Linked DNA regions of Lonchura striata. The protein of the gene in region 1 binds, or shares a complex with, the protein of each later gene. Links are inferred from orthologs where the notes say so. Each region holds a gene or a part of one and is shown on either strand. Other genes may lie near its edges.

Evidence for each region.
Region 2: the proteins of DNM1L (region 1) and MIEF2 are in contact, whole or in part, in a cryo-EM structure (PDB 5WP9), measured with the Homo sapiens proteins. The link is inferred for Lonchura striata from reciprocal best matches to the Homo sapiens genes DNM1L and MIEF2. Residues at the interface, in NP_036192.2 of Homo sapiens: Asp190, Met191, Ala192, Thr193, Ser194, Leu197, Lys198, Ile199, Arg201, Glu202, Gly223, Thr224, Asp225, Asp228, Arg233, Val234; in NP_631901.2 of Homo sapiens: Val213, Asp214, Thr215, Val216, Arg218, Arg226, Leu230, Arg235, Val245, Gly246, Tyr248.

What each region holds. Positions count from the first base shown.
Region 1 is NC_134607.1:17,418,925-17,430,520, reverse strand, and holds the start of DNM1L (dynamin-1-like protein), read left to right. Parts: upstream 1-7,223; 5' UTR 7,224-7,343; coding exon 7,344-7,445; intron 7,446-11,596. UniProt on the Homo sapiens protein: Functions in mitochondrial and peroxisomal division.
Region 2 is NC_134618.1:15,738,814-15,750,340, reverse strand, and holds MIEF2 (mitochondrial dynamics protein MID49), read right to left. Parts: upstream 5,252-11,527; 5' UTR 5,157-5,251; exon of another isoform or gene 5,147-5,156; intron 4,704-5,146; 5' UTR 4,697-4,703; coding exon 4,529-4,696; intron 4,086-4,528; coding exon 3,908-4,085; intron 2,933-3,907; coding exon 1,887-2,932; 3' UTR 604-1,886; downstream 1-603. Other genes in the region: FLII (protein flightless-1 homolog), read left to right, coding at 5,519-5,581, 6,594-6,704, 7,681-7,752, 7,880-7,960, 8,243-8,328, 8,471-8,632, 8,739-8,842, 8,942-9,117 and 10 more. UniProt on the Homo sapiens protein: Mitochondrial outer membrane protein involved in the regulation of mitochondrial organization.

The DNA.
Region 1 (11,596 bases):
AGAGAAGTAGCAGACCAGCCTTTGGCAAACACAGTATTTGGAGCTGGTTTGCTCTAAATAAATTGCTCTGGAGGGTCCTGTGGTGTCCCTAATGGATAAGCAGAGGGATCCTCATGATTGTGACCATTTTGCTTGGGAGCTGCTCACTCCCTGCCTTCTTGGCCCTGTGCACCAGGCACCCATGGCAATATTTAGCTCACCAGACCCAGGTCTTGTGTTTGGTTCCTTGAGGAACACCTTGTCTATGCTGCATGGTGTTGTTTCTGTCTCAAAACACAAAGCTCTTGTGTCATGAGCAGGATGTGCTGCCTGCCCCAGAGTTGACATGGCCTCCAACCATCAGGATCTTACCAAGAAAATTCATTAATACTTTCGACTGCCAAATTTGAATATTTTTTTGTTTGCTAAATGAAGGAAATTACTGCTGTCAGAAGCATTTTCTTATGGAACAGATCCTTAACTTGGAATCCAGTCTAAAGGTGAATTTCCAGATCCTAAAACATCTTCATACTAATTTTACTACCGTATTTAACTTACAGTTTCCAGATTTCTGGATTTGATTTATGCTTTGTAACATTAAAATAACATGTGCCTGAAGAAGTGGAGTTGTCTTAGGAGCAGAATCTGGGATTACTCTCTCTTTGGCCTCTGGTTGCCTCCTGTTCTCTTCTGCCCCTTCCATCTCCTGTCTGGGAGCCAGGCAGTCACAGCACCCTTGCGTGGAGAATGTGGAAATGAACTTTCTCTTGGGTTCACTGGACACTGAATTTGTACCTTGATTCTGTGAGCTTGTGTTTGGAAACAAGACTGGAGGTTTGTGTTTGAATGTTTAAACTTCGTATGCCTGACTCACTTTTCCAAACTCTAAGTAAGGGGAAATTCCTGCTTTGGGGAAATGGGTTTTAGATTCTAACTGCTACTGAATAGGGGATCCATCTCTCAGTGTGAAATTAAATTAATGACCCTGTGATGGAAGAAGACAGGATTTCATTGTACTTCTGTTTTGATGTGTTGCCTGGCATGTAGAATTTCCTGCCTTACCTGTTGTGTCTTGCTTGAGTATTTCTTGCAAAGTAAGTCTAAATCTTACAGCCCGAGGTTCTGGGACACAGATTTGCAAAAGGCCTGCCACCTTATCTGTGTTGTATTTAGGAAGTTGATCTCCAACTAGCACTAAGTTTGCCCTATGAACTGAATGCCATTAAGTTGCTAAAGTACATCCTACGGTTATGTTTCACATGGAAAGACCTGCATCCCTATGCCTCAAGACCAATCTGCAGCACAAAGCAAAGCATGGCAGGTGAGACATGAAGTATCTGCTATCATTACTCTTATGGACAGGGTGTGATGTTGTAAGCCACATATGCTCAATTGTTACATTGCCAACTTAAAATTTTGCCAATCATAAGCAGCATGCACAAGAAAAGGTGTATCATAAAAATAAAAAATGCTCCTCTTGGCATACTATTTTACCTTAAAAAGACTACAGGAGATTATCTTCTTTACTAGATCCAGAAGTAGAAGATACAAGCTCAGTTCCTCTGAACACCAGCAAGTTTTGGTTGAGGTAAGGTTTGGTTGGGATATTTTCTTTTCTGTTTTTGTTGCTTCACTTGAATGCTATGTGTGCATTTTGTTTAGCAATTAAAGTTACTTACTGGATAGTAGATAGGAGGTTATTGCCTTTATTCCCAAAACCTCGGTCTTTTAACATAAAGAGTCTTTACCTGAAAATTGAACTGCAAACCATTGGGGTGCTGAAAATATTTTACTGAAGCAATTGTTTCAGTATTGTGTTTGTAATTTCAAGTGACCACCCCAGTTGCAGCAAGGAGAGAGCACTGCTGTACAGGAATCCACAAGGATACAGAGATTACTTTCATCTCCAGCCTAAGTTTTTATCTCTATTGGCCCCATGGGAAAAGCTAATGTCTTCCAAATACCAAAGTTCTTGAGCTTTGTTACTGATTTATGAGGTTCAAATGTTGTGCTTTCCTTGTGGCTCTTGACCTCTGTTCTCCTCTCCCTCAACTTGAAACCTGCTTTAAGTTTCACGAGCAAGTTTTACCAGAAGTTGTCTTATACCCCAAATACCAGAGGAATTTAATAAATAATTTACCAGTATTCAGATTAAGAAAATAAAAGGAACTCTCTGTTTTTTAGTTCATAATGTCCAGCAAAGTTGCATCCCTGCCCCAGGATAACTTTGTTTTGTCAGACGCTGGGTGTCAGCACAGGTAACATGTTCCCCACACTCAGGAATTCCTATCAGCACTATGGTTTCTTACATCCAGCTGAAGCACATAAGAGAGCTTGCTTTGCCAAGTCAACAGAATTCCTTAAATATGGATTTCTCACTCTGACTTCTGTTGCTTCTGGAAAAGAAAAAAAAGAACAAGATTTAGAATCTCTCAGCCTGGGAAATCTGTGTAGAGTAGCCAAACGAAATGTCATTCTGTCAAGGGATTTCAGGAATTTATTTATCTCATCTTCCAATGGTGCCTGGTGTAAGAAACTGTTACAGTTACATCTGTGACAAGGTTGCTCTGGAGAATACAGAAACACCATTCAATTTGACTTCACATAAAATCTGATCTCTGCCAGACCCATATAATTTCTGCACTGCATGGTTCCAAAACGTGATATTAGTAAGGAATAATTTATATAAATATTTTGCTAATAGTGTTTTTGCAGCATAAAGCAGTATGAATGTATGAGGCACAACTGCTACATTACATACTTGATATATTTCAGTAATAATTCTCTAGACAAAAGAGGATGTCAGGAAAAATGCTTTGCTGAGGTGCTCATTTGTGGTTTCATTGTCTGGCATTAATGGGCTAAATGGCAAGTGACTTGTCATTACTGTCAGTGTGCCAATAAAAAAGACTCAGCTGTCTAAGAAAAATGGAAGCAAATGATGATGCAAAACTAAAAAGGAATTCATATCATGGAGAAAAAAGTCTGGAAATGTTCTCCTGATGTCAAACATAAAACCAAGGAGGCTTATATGGAAATTGGAAGATGACAAATACAAAACTCATATCAAATTGAATTTTTTCATTATATATAACTAGATAATGAAATTTACCACCAGAGGTTGTCATTGGAGCCAAGAATTTAGTGTGATGAGACAAACTCCTACTATATATTAAATAAAGCAACCTAGTTTGCAGAAACATGGAAGAAATATTGAACTGTCTACTTCAGATCTTGCAGCACTATCAGAATAATTTAACATACAGTTTTTGAATGATCTTATTACTGCATTTTTATATTTTCCCCAGAAGGCTGATGCTGGAAGGTCTTAGATGAGGTCCTGAAGTAGATGGATATCAGGTCACATTTGGTGTGGCACTTCCTATGTCCTCATGCCTATTAACTTCAATAACCAGTCTGACTACTATGTTCTTTATCAGATCTTTGAGTTTCTTGCTCAGTACAATGTAAGTCAGCCATGGAAATTTAGAGTTAAAGCTACAGACAATCATTGAGTGTTAAAATATTTATTGCTTTGTCACAGTCCTCAGCAAGGCTGAGGTAACTGTTGGTGCAGGCCATGAAACTTCATAGCAGAGGTATTTCTGGCTCTCAATTTTTAGCCAGAAATTTAAAATATGTTAAATGTATCATCATTCTGATGCTTCTTAGCTTTTTATCTTCTTTAGTATTTCCATCTTGCATTTCTTCCTTAATTCACTTCCTCCATCTCCACTGTGTTTCTCCATTGGTGCATACAGCCCTTGACAGACCTTTCAACATCTCTGCTGGGCAAGCTGGCTTGTCTCAGATTGGTTCAGCAGCTGGTATTTCTTCTGTGTTCTCCTTGAAATATTACACTGATAAAATTCTAAGAATAGCCATAGTGGGGCAGGCTAGCGGGCGAGGACATGCAGTGCTTCTGCATGCTGCTCTTGCAGCTCCTAAACATTGCCAGCTCAGAAACAGCCCCAGCTAGATTTGATCCCTACAGGTCTGTTTTTATATATGCAATGCATTTCTCCTTCTTAAACTAATCCATGAAACATCTGAACTAATTTAAAATTTTACTGTATACAGCGTCCTTTGGTAAGGAGCTCAAAAGGTCACCAAAGCTCCTGCAAGGGGTTACTGTCTTTGTCTTGTTCTGAGCTGGCTCTTATGTTCATTATATATTCCCAAAATGTCTCTATTGGAAGGGAGAGTGAAGAAACCTGATCCTCTTTCACCCACTCCAGGTTGCTAATGAATACACAGACCTTTGGTCCTTGCTACCCTGTGCCATATCTTTGTAGAGTGATCATTCTTGGCTTTCTTAGTTGGTTTTGATAGAGAAGCTGTTCCACACCTTTCATCATCCTTATTGTCCCTCTCTGACCCTCTTCCAGTTTTACATTCTTGCTGAGATGTCCCACTTCTGGTCTAAATTAAGACAGAAACCAGGTTTCACTTTGTCCATTTCACAGGGATGTCCATGAAATCATACGACAAAATAAAAGTGGTAGGAGAAAAGAGATTTGCATTTGCATAGAGAAATAAGCTGGTGTTAACCATTTCATTGGGAGCCAGCAGCTTCTTGTCCTGTGCAACTGGGATATTCCTTCCCCTTCCCCTTCCCCTTCCCCTTCCCCTTCCCCTTCCCCTTCCCCTTCCCCTTCCCTTTGCTTTGTCTTGCCTTGCCTTGCCTCGCCTTGTCTCACCTCAAGGAAGGAGATCAGCCTTAACAGGGAATAGCAAGCCTTTTAAAAAGATTATTTGTCATGTCAGGGAAACACTTCCTTTTGTCCTGGAAGCTGGAGAGATGGATGCCAAATGACTTTTTTGGTGTTAATGATCTCTGGGAGCCATCGGCTGCAGGCTGAGAGCTAATGAGTGAAATCACTGGATAATGTTTGTATGACAGGAAGCCTTCACCAGTCATTCAGAACCTTCTTCCCAAAATTTTACATGCATTAACTGCTTCTCTCTGTGCTGAATACACTGAATTTTGGAGTGTTTCAATTTGCTTAGCCATCTTTATGCTTTTATCACAAAATATTATCCCTCTGAGAGTGTGAAATTGCTTGGCCAAGAATGAGAAACTTTGCTGAAAAGATATACAAATAAGAACACATATCCATGTTCTTTCAGTTGACATTTGAGTGTTTCAAGATGTGAAGACTGGAAAAGACTAATTTGTATAGAACAAGAATAAGAATTCTAATGCCATCCAAAACTTGAAATTTTCAGAAGCCTTTTTACTCTGTTGCTTACAAGAAAGAACAAAGTCCATATTAACATAGTGCCAGCATATTCGTAATTTATCTTCCAGAAAATGCACTCAAAGGAAAGACATTTGAAGATGAGACAGCTTATTTGTTGTGATCTCACATCACAAGTCTGGTTTCATTCTATCTTTTTATAACACAGCTGATTATTAGATCTCACACAGTTCCCCCCTTGTGGCAGTCACGTTCTTCTCTCTTTCAGGATTTTTTATAGAGGACTACAGAGGAAAGAAAGAGAAAACAATTTCTATTTCTGTTCCTTGTTTTTCTCATGTAGAATGTGTTTGGATAATTGTTTACCTGGGGTGATTGCTTGATTGGATTCTGGTGAGGATTGTTTGAGCCTGATGGCTAATCCAATCCACCTGTGTCTGAAGTCTCAAGAGAGAGGGTCACAAGTTGTTAGTGAGTTAGATATGATAGTTAGAAAAAGTAGATATGTAATTTTAGTATCTCCTTTAAATAGTATATTAATATATTATAGTATAGTTATAATAAAGAAATCATTCAACCTTCTGAATTGGAGTCAGACATCATAATTTCTTTCCACCGGTTTCACCTACATTACAATACCCACTTCCTAAGATACCTCAACCTAACCTGTAATTACACATCTAAGTTGGAGAATTTCAGATGATTATCCAAGAGCCTCACAGCAAAACAACAAACATATACAAGAAAGCAAACAGAATAAATATAGCTGTACCACATGTGTCCATTGCAATTCTCACTATATGAACAGAAATGGAAGAATATTCCTTTCACTGGGCACTTTGGAGGAACAGATCTCCAGTTCTGTTCTTCCCCAGAAACTACCTCCATTATGCCTCTTCCCTGCCCCAGCAGCTTAATTTTCCTGCTCTTCTGGCAGGAAAAGCTCTAAATTACTGGCTCTTTGCAAATATTAAGTTCAATACTATATATGTTATGTTGGAACGCATAACATGTAACGCATAACACATTTTGTAGTACTACATTAATCCTTTTTAAGTCATGTGGTAGATACAGTTTTAGGTTATAACATAATGTTATAATGGAAAGTATGCAATGTAAGATATTTTTTTAACTAGTTCAAGAAAGGGATGAAATAATCAAGAAATTCTTTGCACAGAGATAAGGGCAACAAGACACCTAAGAGTTACTGCCTCCTTATTGGGAAAGACAAACCTCCTTCCACCTTCTCTCCATCTTTAAGGAGACACCAGGATTAAGGGGAAGGAGTTGATGATAACCAGAGAACACACTTTGTTTAAAAAGAATTTATGCATCATGTATGAGATATATGAATATGCAACAGGCTGCTGCTTTTAAGGGTTAATCCTTTGTCAGCGAGACACGCTTTCAAGAGGAAAGCATCTGAACGTTCATAATTCTTTGCTTTTTATTACCTTTTATTGTCCTAACTCTGTCTAAATTCTTATTACTCTATTTTTAGAATCATTTTATTACTATTAAGCTTGTAAAATTTTAAAACGAGCGATTGTCGTTTTTCAGACTGGAGGAGGCTCAGGGGCGACCTCGTCGCTCTCTACAGCTGTTTCCTGGGGACTCTTCTCCCTGGTGTCAGTGACAGGACAAGAGCACATTGTCTTAAACTGTGCCGGGGGAGGTTCAAGTTGGACATTAGGAAGAATTTCTTCACATAAAGAGTGGAATGGGCTGCCCAGGGAGGTGCTGGAGTCACCATCTCTGGAGGTGTGTAAGGAAGGACTGGAAGCAGCACTCAATTGACATGCGGCTGTTCGATCACAGGCTGGACCCAAGTATCCCAGAGGCCTTTTCCAGCCCGGCCGAGTCCGTGTTTCTGTGTGACAAAACCCGGCAATGACGCCTCAGACAACACCCCTCGAACGCCGGCGGCCGCGGCGCCGTCCGAGCGGGGCGCGGCGCGGCCAAGCCGCACGGCCTACAACTCCCATGGTGCCCGGCGGCGGCGGCGGCGCGCGCGGCGGGCGCGCGGGGGCTGCCGGGGCCGGGCCGTGCGCGGGGGCCGGCGCCGATGGCGGCAGGCGCAGGGGGCGGCTGAGGGAGCCGCCGGTGCCCGTCGCGTCCATCGACCGCCGACGTCCCGCCCGGCCCGTCCCTTCGCCCGCCGCTATGGAGGCGCTGATCCCCGTCATCAACAAGCTGCAGGACGTGTTCAACACGGTGGGGGCCGACATCATCCAGCTGCCGCAGATCGTGGTGGTGGGCACGCAGGTGAGGCGGGCCGCGCCGGGCCGGGGCCGCGGGCGGGCACCGCCCCGAGGGCAAGGTCGGGCTGCCCATCGCGCTTCCGCCGCCGCCAAGGGCACGGGGGAGCACGACGGGGGAGCGCGACGGGGGAGCGCGACGGGGGAGCGCGACGGGGGAGCGCGACGGGGGAGCGCGACGGGGGAGCGCGACGGGGGAGCGCGACGGGGGAGCGCGACGGGGGAGCGCGACGGGGGAGCGCGACGGGGGAGCGCGACGGGGGAGCGCGACGGGGGAGCGCGACGGGGGAGCGCGACGGGGGAGCGCGACGGGGGAGCGCGACGGGGGAGCGCGACGGGGGAGCGCGACGGGGGAGCGCGACGGGGGAGCGCGACGGGCGAGGCGGGCGGGGCGCTCTCGGTGCCCGCGTTCCCCCGCACGCCCTCGGCCGCTCCGCCGCCTCGGCCCCGGCTGCGCCGGGAGCGCCTCTGCGCCGCCCGCCCTCGGGCGCTTCTCGGGCCCGGCAGCTCCGCGGGGCCGCGGCAGCGGGTGCCCCGTATCCCCGGGGGGCGCGGCGGTGCTGTCACCGTGATCGCCGTCGCTACTCGGCCCTGACTTCCCTTCCTCGACAGCGGCCGTGCAGCGAGGGCCGGGCCGGACGGAGGGGATGTGGTAGCGGGACGGCATCTTGCGGGCGTGGATGGGTGTCCTTTCCCCGAGTTCTTGTGCCGTTTGGACTCTTTGTCTTAGCTGGCGATGGGGAGTGAAGGTGAGAGGCGAGGCCAGCGACTGTTGGCTGCAACAGTTGCAACACGTGCTTGTGAGCCTGGTAGTGCTCCTGGGCTCGAAGATAGCTCAGATCCTCTCCTATCTCTTCAAATGGGATCCTGCTCTTCAGCAGAACTTTTGGCAGCTGAACGTGCCTGACCAGAGCTGCAGCAGTCGCAAGGGAGTAGAAGATGAAGCTAATGGAGCGCTCGTTTTGTTTCTGTGATATTTAAATATGTATTGAATGTGCTGTGCTCCTTGACAGTAGCATGCTCACCGAAGACTTCAGTACCAAGTACTGTGTACTCAGGATTTTAATTGATAACTAAAAACACCAGCTGTACGTGTAAATGCAATGGCATTTTTCTATGTAAGATTAAAAAAGTACTTTTTCCAGTTTCACTTTATGAAGTGGCATTTTTTAAAAATACTTTTAAACAACTCTGTCCTAGTTATCTTTTCCTAGGTGTAAATACTTTCCATAAGTAAATACTGACAGTTAAAACAGTATTGACATGTGTTTGCCTTCAGTAGTCTCCCCATCAATATCAATATCTATTCGGGGCTCCCCATCTATATCAATATCATGTATCCATTATATTTATGAACCCCCAGAAATTAGCATGAAATTTCCTATCATCCCAAAACAAAGTCCTCTGTGGACTCCAGAAAAATATATACCAAAATATCTAGCAAGCTGTATCTTGGGGTTTTTTTTGTTTTAGTCAGGGTTGTTGGAAGAAAAAATTGTCTTTACTGACATAATAATTCTGTAGATACTTATTTTATGCAATTAGTTTTAGTTTAAATAAAATATTATTAATCTATTTATTTGGAGTCAGTTTATTGGAGACCAGATTTTTAGAGATGTGTCACATATGGGCTTAGAGCTGATAGTTCTGCTGCTGGTAGCTTTCTTCCTTTTATTTAACATGTGCCATTTAGACAGTAATGTTTCTTTGTGAACTGCTGTGTGGCCTTTAAGTTTGTTCACACACTTGATGTATCTGTAGCCCACTGGCATATGCTGTCTTTGAATAATGTTCACAATAAACAGTCTTGAATTTTTCACCTCCATTTTTCTTGTAGGAAGCAAATGCTGCCAGTTAAGGTTTCTGTAATCCTCTGTTAATTAAGTTATGCTTTTTTGCATCCATTTGCCACTTGCTTTTTTTAAATGACCTTTTTACATATTCAGCAAGGAGAGGAAAAGTGCTTTTTTAAGTAGTTTTCTGTTTATCTTTCTCTCTCTTCTCTACCCTTTTGTTCTTTTGTGCTTAGGTCTTTCTCTGCTTCTCATTCTGTGCATTAAGTTATTTCTTTCTTTTCTAGGTTGTTTAGAAGCTGTTTATAAGCCTTAACTCTGCTGTGAATATTTTCTGTTTTCCATGTTCCCTTCCCCCCACCTCTGTTGTTTGGTATTCATTTCCTACCTCCCTTGTGCCCTGAGCAATTGAAATGCTTTAATTTTTCCTCTTTCTAGATACATTTTGGTGCTAATTGCAAATTGTTTCTCAGTAAATTTTGCACATCTAGATGGCCTCTTGCACTTGTAGTGGTTTTCCTGCCATTCAGTCATATGAGAATTCCTTCTCATTCTCCCCATTAATATTGTGTAAGTTATTTCTGTATCCTAGCATAGAGTCATTTAAGAAGACTGGGAACTCTGCTGTAGTCAGAGGACACCTTCAAACTGCCCATTTTTCTTCACTGTTTCAGGGTTTTTCTGCCATTTCCAGATAGGTGTTCTATTTTTTCCCCAAGTCAGTATTCCAGTTCCATTTTTAGAACTGTATGACTAAAGTGCAAAAAGAAAAAAGTGTCCAGGTTAGCAATATGATATAAAAATATTAGTTCAGTAATGTTGTAATACTCAGTATTCTGATTTATACAAGTGCTTTGTACTCTGTATTTTAAGGGGTAATATTGTGGTATTGAAGTGCCTCAACTAAACACATTAAAACTACAGTAAAGAAGACAAGGGGAAGAAAAGTAATTAACGATGGCCTTTTGTGTGGATAGGTGGTATCACAAAAATTAAATGCCTACACTACCAAAGTGGTCATAAGATTTAGAATAAATTTAAGAAAACCAGCCAGACAACAAAATATCTGCCTAGAAGTCGGTAAAAATGAATTGTCTTTATTTATTTTTTGTGCCCTTAATTTTTTGAATATGTTTTTGATTTTTAGTAGTCGTCAGCCTAGTTTTATACGAACTTTAGTGTCAGCTTTGTAACAAAAATCTAATACTAACATAAAATCACTTTGTGGGCTTTATTTGCACTTGTTAGTGTTAACTGAAGTGGAGACATTGTAGCAAAATTGATGTAGCAACTGATGGAATTGACAGGTCAGATTTTGGAGTGACCTTTCCTGTGCACATTTATGGAGTTCTTCTGCTCAGTCTTCTGCCAATGCCATTTTGAGTCTTTAAATGGGGAGGTGTAGTTCTGCTAAATGTTGCCCTGGGATTGACTCACAGACGAGTGTGACTTTTATTCCTTTTTTTTTTTCTGTTTTGTGTATGTTTGATGCTGATGCTAAACCACTTGTTATTGCAAGGTGGAAGGTTTCTTGATCTGAGGTCACAGCCTGAGCATGTGGATATGTATATATGTATCCACAGCCTGGATATGTGGATATTTATGTTCTGGTAAGATAAATAGTTGGAAGAATGCTGATTTGGCTGTTAAGGAGTTGACAGCAACGGGAAGGTAATGGACAGTCCTGGCTAGTGGGATAAGGAAATGAATTCGGCAGATGCTATCAAAGCATCCTGAGAGAGGCTGGCACCTTGGTCTGGAACTTCAGGTGCTCTGCAGAGCTTCTGTGACTTTCCCTGGCAGGGGAACAGAAATTCAAGCCACTTAGCTCATTCAGTGTAGCCTACATTGTGTTGGCAAAAAGCCAGTTGAGGTGAAGGAAACTCTGGTTTGTACTAAGCAACAAGGAAAAACCCATGCCAGGCACAGCCATGTCTTCCTCCTGCCTCTCTTGCTGAGTTGTTAGTTTGATTTTTGTGGTGTTTTGTTTATTTGTTTTGATTTTTTTTGTTGTTGTTTTGTCCGAGGATCTTTGTGGCAATTGAAGCAGATGCAAAAACCCATTAGTATCTACATTTGAATAGAGGATGTAACCAGAGCATTGCTTCCATGCTGGCTGGGGACAGTTTGCTTTTTCTCCCAGATGTTTTGCAAACTTCCTGATTTAATTTGTTTTTTTTTTTTAAATTTGCTTTCATATCTGACATTTACAGTCTCTGGTTTTGGGTGTAACAGTTTTCCTTTTTTTGCCATTCTTTGCTCCTGTCAAGTCATGCCCTGACTGTTCTGTTTGTTTCAGACAAGCAGCAAAGTGAGGTTGACATGTCTGGTAAATGTAAACAGCTAATTAATATAAATGTTGCTG
Region 2 (11,527 bases), on another chromosome or scaffold:
TTGGAAGCAGAGCCCACAGCAGCACAGGCCAGAAAGAGAGCCAGAAACCCTGCAGCAGTCCATTGCTACCAGGCCTAAATCCATGCAGAAAGTCAGGAGAATTTGGGTTGCATTTCCCTGTAGCCCTCACTCCCACCATTAACAGCCGGGGCCTAAAAATACACAGCCTGGGCTAAAATAACAGCATTACAGGGCTTTGGAATGCAGCCACTGAGCCAAGGCAGGGCAGCAGCCTGGCCAGCCACCTTGGAATGGCAGCAGCAGTGGGAAGCAGCTGTGCAGGACACAGGGAGCAGGTTAAAACCCTGCTGGTGGATCAGCCTGGACCAGCTTGAGGAGTCACACCCTGCTCAACGCTCAGCAGAGCCCTGTCAGCGGTACAAGGTCAGTGCCCAGACAGCTCCCACACTGCAGCCAGGCACTCTGTGGGTCCACGGCTTTGGAAGAGGAGGAGGAAGACTTTGCAGGGTGGGATCTGACCATCACCAAGCTCTCCAGGCAGCAGGGACACACCTTAGGTGGTTCCCAGGAAGGCCACACAGCTGGGAGTCATTTCAACCCTTAGCAGGGGAAAGAGACAAAGGAGAGCTGACACCAGAGAACCAGTGTGCACAGGGAAGGTTTATTCTCATCATAACACCTGGGAAGTGGTTTGGAGGAACAAAGGAATTGTCAGACTGGGAGGAAAAGCAGGTTTTTTTCCTCCCATAAACAAGATGATAGCTGTAAAGAAAACTAAACCACAACAGCTGCTCACAGTGAAGTCCACAGAATTACTCCAGCTCCACCCGCGTGCAAAACCAGCTCTTCCCATTAAATATAAGAATAAATTGCTTTTCTCTGGGACTAGAGCCAGACCAAACCCTACTAGCAGCCACTCAAAGGAAAAGAAAACAACAAAATACCCAAACAAAATATATCTTCTTAATAAAAAGCATAAACCGCTTCAGTTCTTGCAAGCACTCTGCTCACAACATCATTCCTACCCTGCTTCCCCACCCCATTCCGTGGGGCTGCAGGGCAAAAGGACCTCAAGACAGCAGCAATACAAGTGTGAAAAGGTGACCAGACAGACTGGGAGGGGACAGGTACCTGCAGACAGACACTGGCAGCCACCCACCCACTGGGGAGGGGAAACAGCCCTGCTGCAGCCTCCAGCTGAAAAACCAGGAGCTTCCCCAGAGCCAGCAGCTCCTTTTCAGGACATCTTCCAGGAAAACACTGCATGGGACAAGGGCCCCTTCTTCGGGGCAGCATCAACACTGTCAGAACAAAGAGGTAGGGCTGAGCTTGCCCCTTCTGGAAGGGTTTCCAAGGAATAACCCCCATCCCCCATTTGCTATGGCTGTACCACCCAGCACCCAGCTCATCCACAGGGTTTATTTGGGATTGGCAAAATCCTGCGGGTGGGTGAGGCTCCCCCTGCCCCAAGTGCTGGCACAGCGAGGCCACGCAGGGTGCTGGTGACAGGACCAGCCCAGGACGTGGCACCTGAGGGCTCTGCAGGACACAGCAGCAGGAAGGGGCTGCTCCTCTCCAGCTACTCTCAGAGCCTGAGGGGCAACCTGACAGCTGGGATAGGCAGAAGACACTGGGAGCCAGAGACCAAACATGCTTCACTGGGCTCCCAGCAGACAGAACTCACACGTGTGGCGTGGGCTGCCCTCAGCCCGGGTTCAGCAGAGCCTCTGAGCCCAAGGCTCCTTCTGCCAGCACCCACCTCTGCTCAGGCACGCTTTATTCACACAGGAAACCGGTTTTTTCCTCATAAAGTGCAAGAACTTTGCCTCTTACTGACTAGTCAACTAGAAGCATCACAGCCCTCACAGCGGGGAGCAGCAGGCAGGGAGCAACCCCCCCACGTTCAGGAGCTCCCAACACACCGGTCACTTCAGCAGGACCTCTGGCTCAGATATGGCCCTGTAGAGCACAAAGCCCATCTCATCAATTTCCTCTTCCAACAGCCTGGAGAACAGGTTGATTTTGGGGTTGAAATAGCAAGGCAGGACTCCTTTCTCCAGGGAAGCCACCAGCTCCTCAAGCAGCTGCTGGAACCTGTCAGCAAGGCTCTCCTCTGCCCAGTCCACAGCAGTGTCACTGAGGTGCAGGATGACATGGGCCATGGGGCTGCCCCCCAGTTTGTGCAGGCTGGGCTGGCTCTTGCAGATGCTGTTGAGGATGCGCAGGCAGAGCTGCCGAGCCCCGGCGTCACCAGCGTCCAGCTCCTTCACCCTCGAGACCTCCGCCCTGTAAAAACTCTCCAGCCAGAGGTTTTCCACCAGTCCTTCAGGAGGAACAGCCAGAAGAACCTTGTCCTCCATTTCCACCACTGGGAAGAGGGTGATGCTCAGATCAACCTGATCATGTTTGACTTCCAGCTTCAGCTCCCGGGAGGCCACCACAGGGTGGATGGCACAGCCCAGCAGGCCACCGATGGCAGGCCAGTTGATGGAGGCCACCAGCAGCTTGTGGAGGGTCTCGTTGATCACGCTGGACGAGAGGTACCGGCCCACCATGAACCTGTCCCAGGGGCTGCACCCACGAGGGAAGTAGCCCAGATCGATCCTCTTGATCATCCAGTACTGGGGGCTCCTCACCACGGTGTCCTCTCCCGAGATGAGGCTCCAGAGCCCGGCGTCGAGGACCACCGGGAGCATGAGGTGGATGTGGTCAGCTGCCAGGACCTCGAGGCCATCGAGCAGGGCTCCGCTGAGGAAGAGGCGGCCAAAGGGCAGCTCCGGGCACTTGCTCCTCAGGAAGTTCTGCAGCTGGGTGCAGATGCTCCTGGCCAGCTGTGGGACGAGGGACACTTGGATCTCGGGCACGGCCAGCTGGCTGCTGTGTGAGAGGAGCTTCTCCTGCAGCGTGAGACAGCGCAGGGGGCTGGGCTTGACCTGAGGAGCCCCCAGAGAGGCAGAGAAGCCCCTGGGATCTGTGGGAAGGGAAAGGAGAAGTCACAGCTCTGAGCACATCATCTGAAAGCCTCAGCAGCAGAGGGGAAGGCATGAGTTGGGTGCCCAGCTCTCAGCCCACCCCTCTGGAGGTGACACCGACCTCAGCAAGGGCCCCCATTGAGCTCACTGATGTTAACAGCACTTCTCAGCCATGCAGAGCCCAAACCAACCCCAAATCTGGCTGTTCCCAGCCTCACTCCTCAGCCAGAGATGGGAACCAGGCAAGGGACTTGCTGCCAGGGTCAGAGAACCACAGAATACACTGAGTTGGAAAGGACCCACGAAAATCATCCAGTCCAACTCCTGGCCCTGCACAGACACCCCAACAATCCCACCCTGTGCCTGAGAGCAGTGTCCAAATGCTCCTGCAGCTCTGGCAGCCTTGGGGGCACAACCATTCCCTGGGGAGCCTGGGCAGTGCCCAGCACCCTCTGGGGGAAGAATCTTTTTCCTAATATCCAACCTAAACCCTCCCTGACACAGCTGCTGCTGTTCCCTCATGTCCTGTCAGTGGTCACCAGAGAGATCAGTGCCTGCCCCTCGCATGAGGATCCTACAGACAATCCTGCTCTGGGTCCATTATCTCAGGACATGCCCTGGACTGAACTGGGCCAGTTTCCCACTTGGAAAAGCTCCATCTCCATGGGCAGCTGGACAAGGCAGCCTTTGTTTGCAGCAGCTCCTGAGCACACCTTCCTGCAGGCACAGCTGACCCAGAAAACTAGCACAGCCAACGCTGCTCCAGAGGAAACAAACCCCAACACCCTCTGCCAGGCCACTCCGGATGTCACCAGAGGTCCTGTTTCCGCTGGCATTGCCTAAAAAGGGGCCGTGGCTTGGGAGCCTCCCAGCAGGGCAGGCTCAGTGGGCTCGGCTTTCCGACAGCGAGCTAAAAATAACGTGGAGCTCCCGGAGCACACCAAGGTGATCCTCCTGGGCACCAGGAACCTCACCTGGCACCAGAGGCCGAGCTGGAGAGAGCAGAGGCTCACTGAGATCTTCCCTTCTCTGCTTCTTGGGGGGTTTTGGTGTTGTCTTGATCAATGCCAAGTCCTGCCAGCTCTCCTCCAGGGATTTCTGCTCAGCTTTGGGGTCGCCCTCATCCCGAGGGCTGGTGGCTCGGTCGATCAGCTGGAGGGAAGGAAAAGCCAAGAGGACAAGATGTTATCTTTGTTTTCCATGAATTACAGGTGAGGCGACAGCCCCACTCAAGGCTTCTGCTCAGAAAAACACCCAGTTTTGGGGGCCATGAGTGTGCACATCATCTTCCTGCAGGTTTTACATGGAAAACAGATTCCCAAATACAATTTAGGTCCCAGGTGCCTTTTGGGATGGGATACTGTATGCAAAATGCTCCAGGCAAACAGAACATGCATACATGGTCCCACAGGATGGAAGCAGGCAGCTCCATGTCCACGGCACTGCTTCCAGCACCCGTGGCATTTGTGCCACGTGCAAGGAACCAGCTCAGGAGAGAACATAAAGAATTTGGGACACATCTTGCCCCACCACACTGGAACCAACCCAGCCCTCCTGAGCATCTCCTGGTGCTCTATTCCCAGACCCAGCCTTACCCTCTTGACAGCCAGCGTGGCGATGGCCAGCACGGCCGCGCCGCTGACGCCCAGCACCAGCCTGGCGTTGGCCAGCAGCACATCGAACACGCTGCCCAGCCCGTCGAGGACAGCGCCCAGCCCGCCGCTCTCCTGCCGCCGGCCCCGCTGCTGCCAAAACGCCGCCATGGTCGCCCTGCGGAGAACAGGAGAGTCACCCCGGGCTGGGGGACCTGTCACCCCGGGACAGGCACAGCCGCAGGGTGGGATGGTTTGGGGAACAAAGGGTTCCGCCGGCCCGCTCTCCTCCGGGATAAAGGCTCCCGCCGGCGGCGGCGGGACGGCTGGGTGCGGCGAGGGAGCAAGGGTCACCGGGGGAAGGGACACCCCGGGGAGGGACACCCGGGGAAGGGACACCCCCGGGAAAAAAGGGACGGACACCCCAGGGAAGGGACACCGCAAGGAGGGAGGGACACCGCAGGGAAGAAGGGACACCGAAGGGAAGGGACACCCAGGGAAGGAAGGGACACCCCCGGGGAAGGAAAGGACGGACACCGAAGGGAAGGGACACCGCGGGGAAGGGAGGGACACCCCGGGGAAGGAAACATCCCGGGGAAGGAAGGGACACCCGCTCCTCACCCAGCCCTACCGCAAAGCCTCGCGGGGCACCGGGGCGATACCGCGGCCCGCGGGAAGGGAGCCCCCCCCCGACCCTACTGACGGAGGGGAGGCGGCACCAGAACCAGAACCAGCACCGGGACCGGCACCGGCACCAGAACCAGAACCGGGACCGGACCGGGCCGGGCCGGGCCCGGCGCTGCCCGCGCGCGCCCCCGCGCCGCGCTCCGCGCGCGCTCCCGCCGCGGCCCCGGCCAATGGGAGCGCGCGGCGGCGCGGCCCCGCCCACAGCGCGCGGAAGTGGCGCCAGGCGCCGCGCGCGTCACGGCCGGGGCGGGCGCGGGCGGGGCCTGGCGGGGCGCGGCACCGCGCGCCGCCCCCCGCGCTTCCGCCATGGCGGCCACCGGCGTCCTGCCCTTCGTCCGCGGCGTCGATCTCAGCGGCAACGACTTCAAGGTGCGGGGCGGCGGGAGCGGGGCACAGCCCGGCCCGCAGCGCCCCAGCGGGCCCGGGCCCCGCGGGGTTGTCAGGCCTGGCTCGGCCCCCGGGGCAGGGGAAGCCCGGCCCCGGCCCCGCCCGGGGTGGGTGACCTGGGGCAGTCCCGGTCCCGGCGCTGTGGGCGCTGCGGGGGCGATCCCTGACCCACATCGAACCGCTGGGGTTGAGCAACCCGGCCCTCAGCCCAGGGGGTCCCAGGGAGATCGGAGATCCCCGAGCCTCCAGCTCCCGGTCCCATAGGACCGGGCGATCCCAGCTCCCGGTCCCGTAGAACTGAGCGATCCCAGCTCCCGATCCCGTAGAACTGAGCGATCCCAGCTCCCGATCCCGTAGAACTGAGCGATCCCAGCTCCCGATCCCGTAGGACCGGGCGATCCCAGCTCCCGGTCCCGTAGAACTGGGCGATCTCAGCTCCCGGTCCCGTAGAACTGGGCGATCCCAGCTCCCGGTCCCGTAGAACTGGGCGATCTCAGCTCCCGATCCCATCGGACTGGGCGATCCGTCCCAGTCCCATAGGACTGGGCGATCCCAGCTCCCGATCCTGTAGGACTGGGTGATCCGTCCCAATCCCATAGGACTGGGCGATCCCAGCTCCCGCTCCCGTAGGACTGGGCGATCCCAGCTCCCGGTTCCGTAGAACTGGGCGATCCCAGCTCCCGCTCCCATAGGACCGGGCGATCCCAGCTCCCAGTCCCGTAGGACTGGGTTTCCATGGCCCCCAGCTCCCAGGCCCCTAGGACGGGGTGATCCCAGCCCTCTAATTCCCAATTTTATGGGACTGCTTCATCCCAACCCCACAGCTCCCAGTCCCTTAGGACTGGGTCATCGTGACCCCACACTTTCCAGCCCATAGGACTGCACGATCCCAGACCTCCCATGACCACAGAGCCTCAATCAGACTGAGGTCCCCAGATCCTCATCCCGTGGGACAGGTGTTTCCTCACCCTCTTCCTCCTCCTCCTCCTCGCAGGGCGGGTACTTCCCGGAGCATGTGAAGGCGATGACCAGCCTGCGCTGGCTGAAGCTGAACCGCACGGGGCTCTGTTACCTGCCCGAGGAGCTCGCTGCCCTCCAGAAGCTGGTGAGCCCCGTGTTCTGGGATGGAATGGGGCTCCCCTATCCCGCTGGGACCGTAGGATCCCACGGGAGCCTGTTCCCTGCCAGCCTCGTGGCTCAGCAGCGGGTGCTCCAGTGTCTAATAATAGCACTGAGCTGCAATGTGTGGTTGAAATGGGATGCAGGAGCTGTCAGGAGTGGGTTTGGAGTGGGCTTGCTCTCAGTTTCACCTTGTTTTCCTAGAAAACCAGATTAAAAACCACGCTTAGATCCTCTACCCTGTAGTAGAAGGGAAGGGTGATGGTTACAGTGGGGACAATCAAGGGTTTGGGGGCTTTTTTTCCTTCTTCTTTGCTAAAGTATGTAAAAAGCAGGAGCTGGCAGCTGTCTGGCTTTGTTTTTCGGGTGGTTCACCCAGGCCCTTGCTGGAGTCAAGGCTCAGCTTGGCTTTGGTGGTGTCCACAGCACATCAGGGACCTCATCCTGTCCGTGTCACACAAACTGAGTGCTTTAATCGCTGCCAGGGAATCCCTCAGTGCCACTCCTGCCAGCCCTGCCAGGTGCTCGGGGGCCACAGCAAGACTGAAATCCTGGCATCCCACCCACAGCCTGCCAATGCCGTGTGTTCCTGAGCAGGCAACAGCCGGGCTGGTGATGCTCAGAGGAAAACATTTCCCCAGGGGAATTCCTCCCACCCCAGCAGTGCCCACGTCTGCCCGTTCCCAAGGACTGGGATCTGTTTGTGTGGGCATCCCAGAGCACCCCAAACCCCACGGCAGGGCTGAGGTGTGCAGGGGATGAGGGATGTGGAGGCAGCGCAGGCACACTGGGCCAACCAACCAGTTTGAGACTGGGAGTGTCCCAGCAGCTCTGTGGGTGACAAGTCCCCAACTCTCCTGGGATGGAGGAGCCTCCACATCAATGTTGGGGCACAGCCTTTGCCCTGCACAGCCCCAGCTCCTCTCTCTGCTCACTGGGGCTTGTCTGGGACTTCCCTGCAGGAACACCTCTCCGTGAGCCACAACAGCCTCACCACGCTCCATGGAGAGCTCTCCGGCCTGCCCTGCCTCCGGGTGAGTGTCCCCCTCCTGCCTCAGGGGTCCCCAGGCACCTCTGGGATCTGAGGGCACACCAAGATCATACCTGGGCACCCTGGGGGCTCCGCAGGCAGCTGCATTCCTGCCTCTCTCCCCTCTGCAGGCAATTGTGGCTCGTGCAAACAGCCTGAAGAACTCGGGAGTCCCTGATGACATTTTCCAGCTGGATGACCTCTCGGTGCTGGTGGGTGCAGATTCTTCTCAGCTTATACAGGAGCCAGCTCAGACTCCTGGGTCCCTTTGCTGCACCGTGGTGGCTCCTTGTGTTCCTTGGGAGCAGCAGTCGCAAGCCCATGGCTGAGCTCCAGGGAAGCTGGCTGTCGGCAGGGTGACCCTCTGGCAATGTCTCCTTTAAAGGCTGATGCCATGGAAGGGCTCCCTGGGTTCCCTGTGTGCTGGTCCAGCTCCCTGGAGGTGTGGGTGGTGGTGGCTGGGTGACAACTGCTTTGTGCTCCCCCTTTCCCAGGACCTGAGCTACAACCAGCTCACAGAGTGTCCCAGGGAGCTGGAGAATGCCAAGAACATGCTGGTCCTTAACCTTGGCCACAACAGGTGGGTTCAGGCTAGAATAACCATCTCCCCATCCTGGCCATGGCCACATTTTGCTCTGGGTCCTGTTCTCTGCCCCTCCTCGAGGGAGATCCGGGGCTGGTGCAGATCCTAGGCACTCCTGAATTTCCCCACATCCCTGCAGCATCGACACCATCCCCAACCAGCTCTTCATCAACCTGACGGACCTGCTCTACCTGGACCTGAGCGACAACAAGCTGGAGAGTCTCCCACCACAGATGAGGCGCCTGGTGCACCTGCAGACCCTCATCCTCAACAACAACCCCCTCCTGCATGCGCAGCTGCGGTACGGCCCCGCTCCCCGGGCTGCCTCCCAGCCTGGCAGGGCTGGCACTGAGCTCCCTGCTCCATCCTGACACTCCCTCTGCCCTGTGGCTCTCCCTGGTCCTCAGGCAGCTCCCGGCCATGACGGCCCTGCAGACCCTCCACCTCCGCAACACCCAGCGCACGCAGAGCAACCTGCCCACCAGCCTCGAGGCCCTGGTGAACCTGGCAGGTAGGGCTGGGGCATCCAGCCCCACAGAGCCCTCCAGGGGCTCTCCCAACCCCAGTGTTGGTCTGGCTGGTGGTGTCACCCCGTTGTTTCTGTCCCCAGATGTGGACCTGTCCTGCAATGACCTCAGCCGTGTCCCTGAGTGTCTCTACACCCTGGGCAGCCTGCGGCGCCTCAACCTCAGCAGCAACCAGATCACGGAACTGTCCCTCTGCATCGACCAGTGGACCCAGCTGGAGACCCTCAACCTGTCCCGCAACCAGCTCACCTCCTTACCTGTATGTACCTGCCCTTTTGTGCCATCCCTGCTCGTGGTTCCATGGTTCTCCCTCACCCCACCATCTCCCCCTTCCCCAGTCAGCCATCTGTAAGCTGACCAAGCTGAAGAAGATGTACCTGAACTCCAACAAGCTGGACTTTGATGGGATCCCCTCGGGCATTGGCAAGCTCACCAACCTTGAGGAGTTCATGGCAGCCAACAACAACCTGGAGCTCATCCCTGAGAGCCTGTGCAGGTAAGGAACACACCACTGGATCTGCTGTGTCCCCAGGAGGGAGCACAGAGGTTCTGTGGTCACAGGTCACCCTGGGCTGGCCTGTCACCAGCATCGCCGTCCCACAGGTGCTCCAAGCTGAGGAAGTTGGTGCTGAACAAGAACCGCCTGGTGACGCTGCCAGAGGCCATCCACTTCCTGACAGATGTGGAGGTGGGCACCCAGTGCTTCTCTGCCTTGGGCTGGCTCCACCACAGCCCCAGCACCTCCCTGGGACCCCAGGGCTGTAGGGTGGGCTGGATGAGGTGAGGGCAGGGAAGCTCAGGGCCAGTACCTGCAATCTGCCACATGTCAGCCCAGGCAGGCCATGGATTCCCTCCACATCCCCTCAGGTCTCCATCCCATGCCACATTCCAAATATCCCTGTGAGCACGAACTTCACCGAGGTCTCTGTGCCCTCCCTGGCAGATCCTGGACGTGCGCGAGAACCCCAACCTGGTGATGCCCCCGAAGCCGGCGGATCGCTCCTCGGAGTGGTACAACATCGACTTCTCCCTGCAGAACCAGCTCCGCCTGGCCGGAGCCTCCCCCGCCACCGTCGCCGCTGCCGCCGCGGGTACGCGTGCAGGGAGGGGGGCACGCGGTCCCTCCCTGCCCTGGCACGGACCTGGCAGAGGCTGGGGGGTGAGCCCTGCTCCGTGGGGTGCCCCACGGGCGGCGTGGCCGCCTCTCACCCCGTCCCTGTGTCCCCAGGGAGTGGCACCAAGGACCCGCTGGCCCGCAAGATGCGGCTCCGGCGGCGCAAGGACTCTGCCCAGGATGACCAGGCCAAGCAGGTGCTGAAGGGGATGTCGGATGTGGCCCAGGAGAAGAATAAGAAGATAGAGGTAGGGTCTGGGGTGGGAGAAGGGCCCTGAGGGCATCACAGTGTCCCTGGCCTACCTTGGCTGCCAGCTGGGTTCTGGTTGTCCCTAATCTGACCTGTTCCTGTCCCACAGGAGAGTGGGGAGGCGAAGGCGCCGGATCTGAAGACACGGCGCTGGGACCAGGGCCTGGAGAAGCCACAGCTGGACTACTCGGAGTTCTTCAGCGAGGACGTGGGGCAGCTGCCCGGCCTCTGTGTCTGGCAGATCGAGAACTTCGTGCCCACGCTGGTGGACGAGGCTTTCCACGGCAAGTTCTACGAAGCCGACTGCTACATCGTGCTCAAGGTAACCCGGGAGGACCAAAGGTCCCCTGCATCCCCTGCCAGGAGCTGCAGCCATCCCATCTCACACCCTTGTCCTTCCCAGACCTTCCTGGATGAGAACGGTTCCCTGAACTGGGAGATCTACTACTGGATCGGGCAGGAGGCCACACTGGACAAGAAGGCCTGTTCCGCCATCCACGCCGTCAACCTCCGCAACTACCTGGGGGCTGAGTGCCGCAGCATCCGGGAGGAGATGGGGGATGAAAGCGAAGAGTTCCTTCAGGTGAGGCCAAGTCCCAGCTCCCCTGTAACCCCCGACCCCTCCTGTCCCAGCCTCACCCCTCCATGCCCCCAGGTCTTCGACAATGACATCTCCTACATCGAGGGTGGCACAGCCAGTGGTTTCTTCACCGTAGAGGACACGCAGTACGTCACCAGGTACAGCTGGGGACAGGGGCTGGGGCGATGATTGGAGCAGGCAGTGCCCCATGTCCCACCACGGCTGTCCCTTCCCCAGGCTCTACCGTGTCTATGGGAAGAAGAATGTCAAGCTGGAGCCGGTGGCACTGAAAGGGACATCACTGGACCCCCGGTGAGTGGCCAGGGGACAGAGGGACCTTACAGAAAGTTCAGCAGGATCCACCTGAGACACTATAGCTGCAGTTCTGTGGTGCAAATGGGCTATGCCAGCACCTTTCTACAAGAACATGGGTTCAAACATTGGTGCCCTGCAGGGATCCCCAGGATGGGGAGGATGCCCAGCACTCCCCATTCTCTCCTGACCCCTCTCACCTCTCTCCTCCAGGTTTGTTTTCCTCCTGGACCATGGCCTCAACCTCCTGGTGTGGCGTGGGAGCCAGGCCACGCTGAGCAGCACCACCAAGGCCAGGTAGGGCTGGTGGGGGTGCCGGGGTGTGGGGAGCTCAGCTGCCATCTCATGTGCTCCCACCGCAGGCTCTTCGCTGAGAAGATCAACAAGAACGAGCGGAAGGGCAAGGCCGAGAT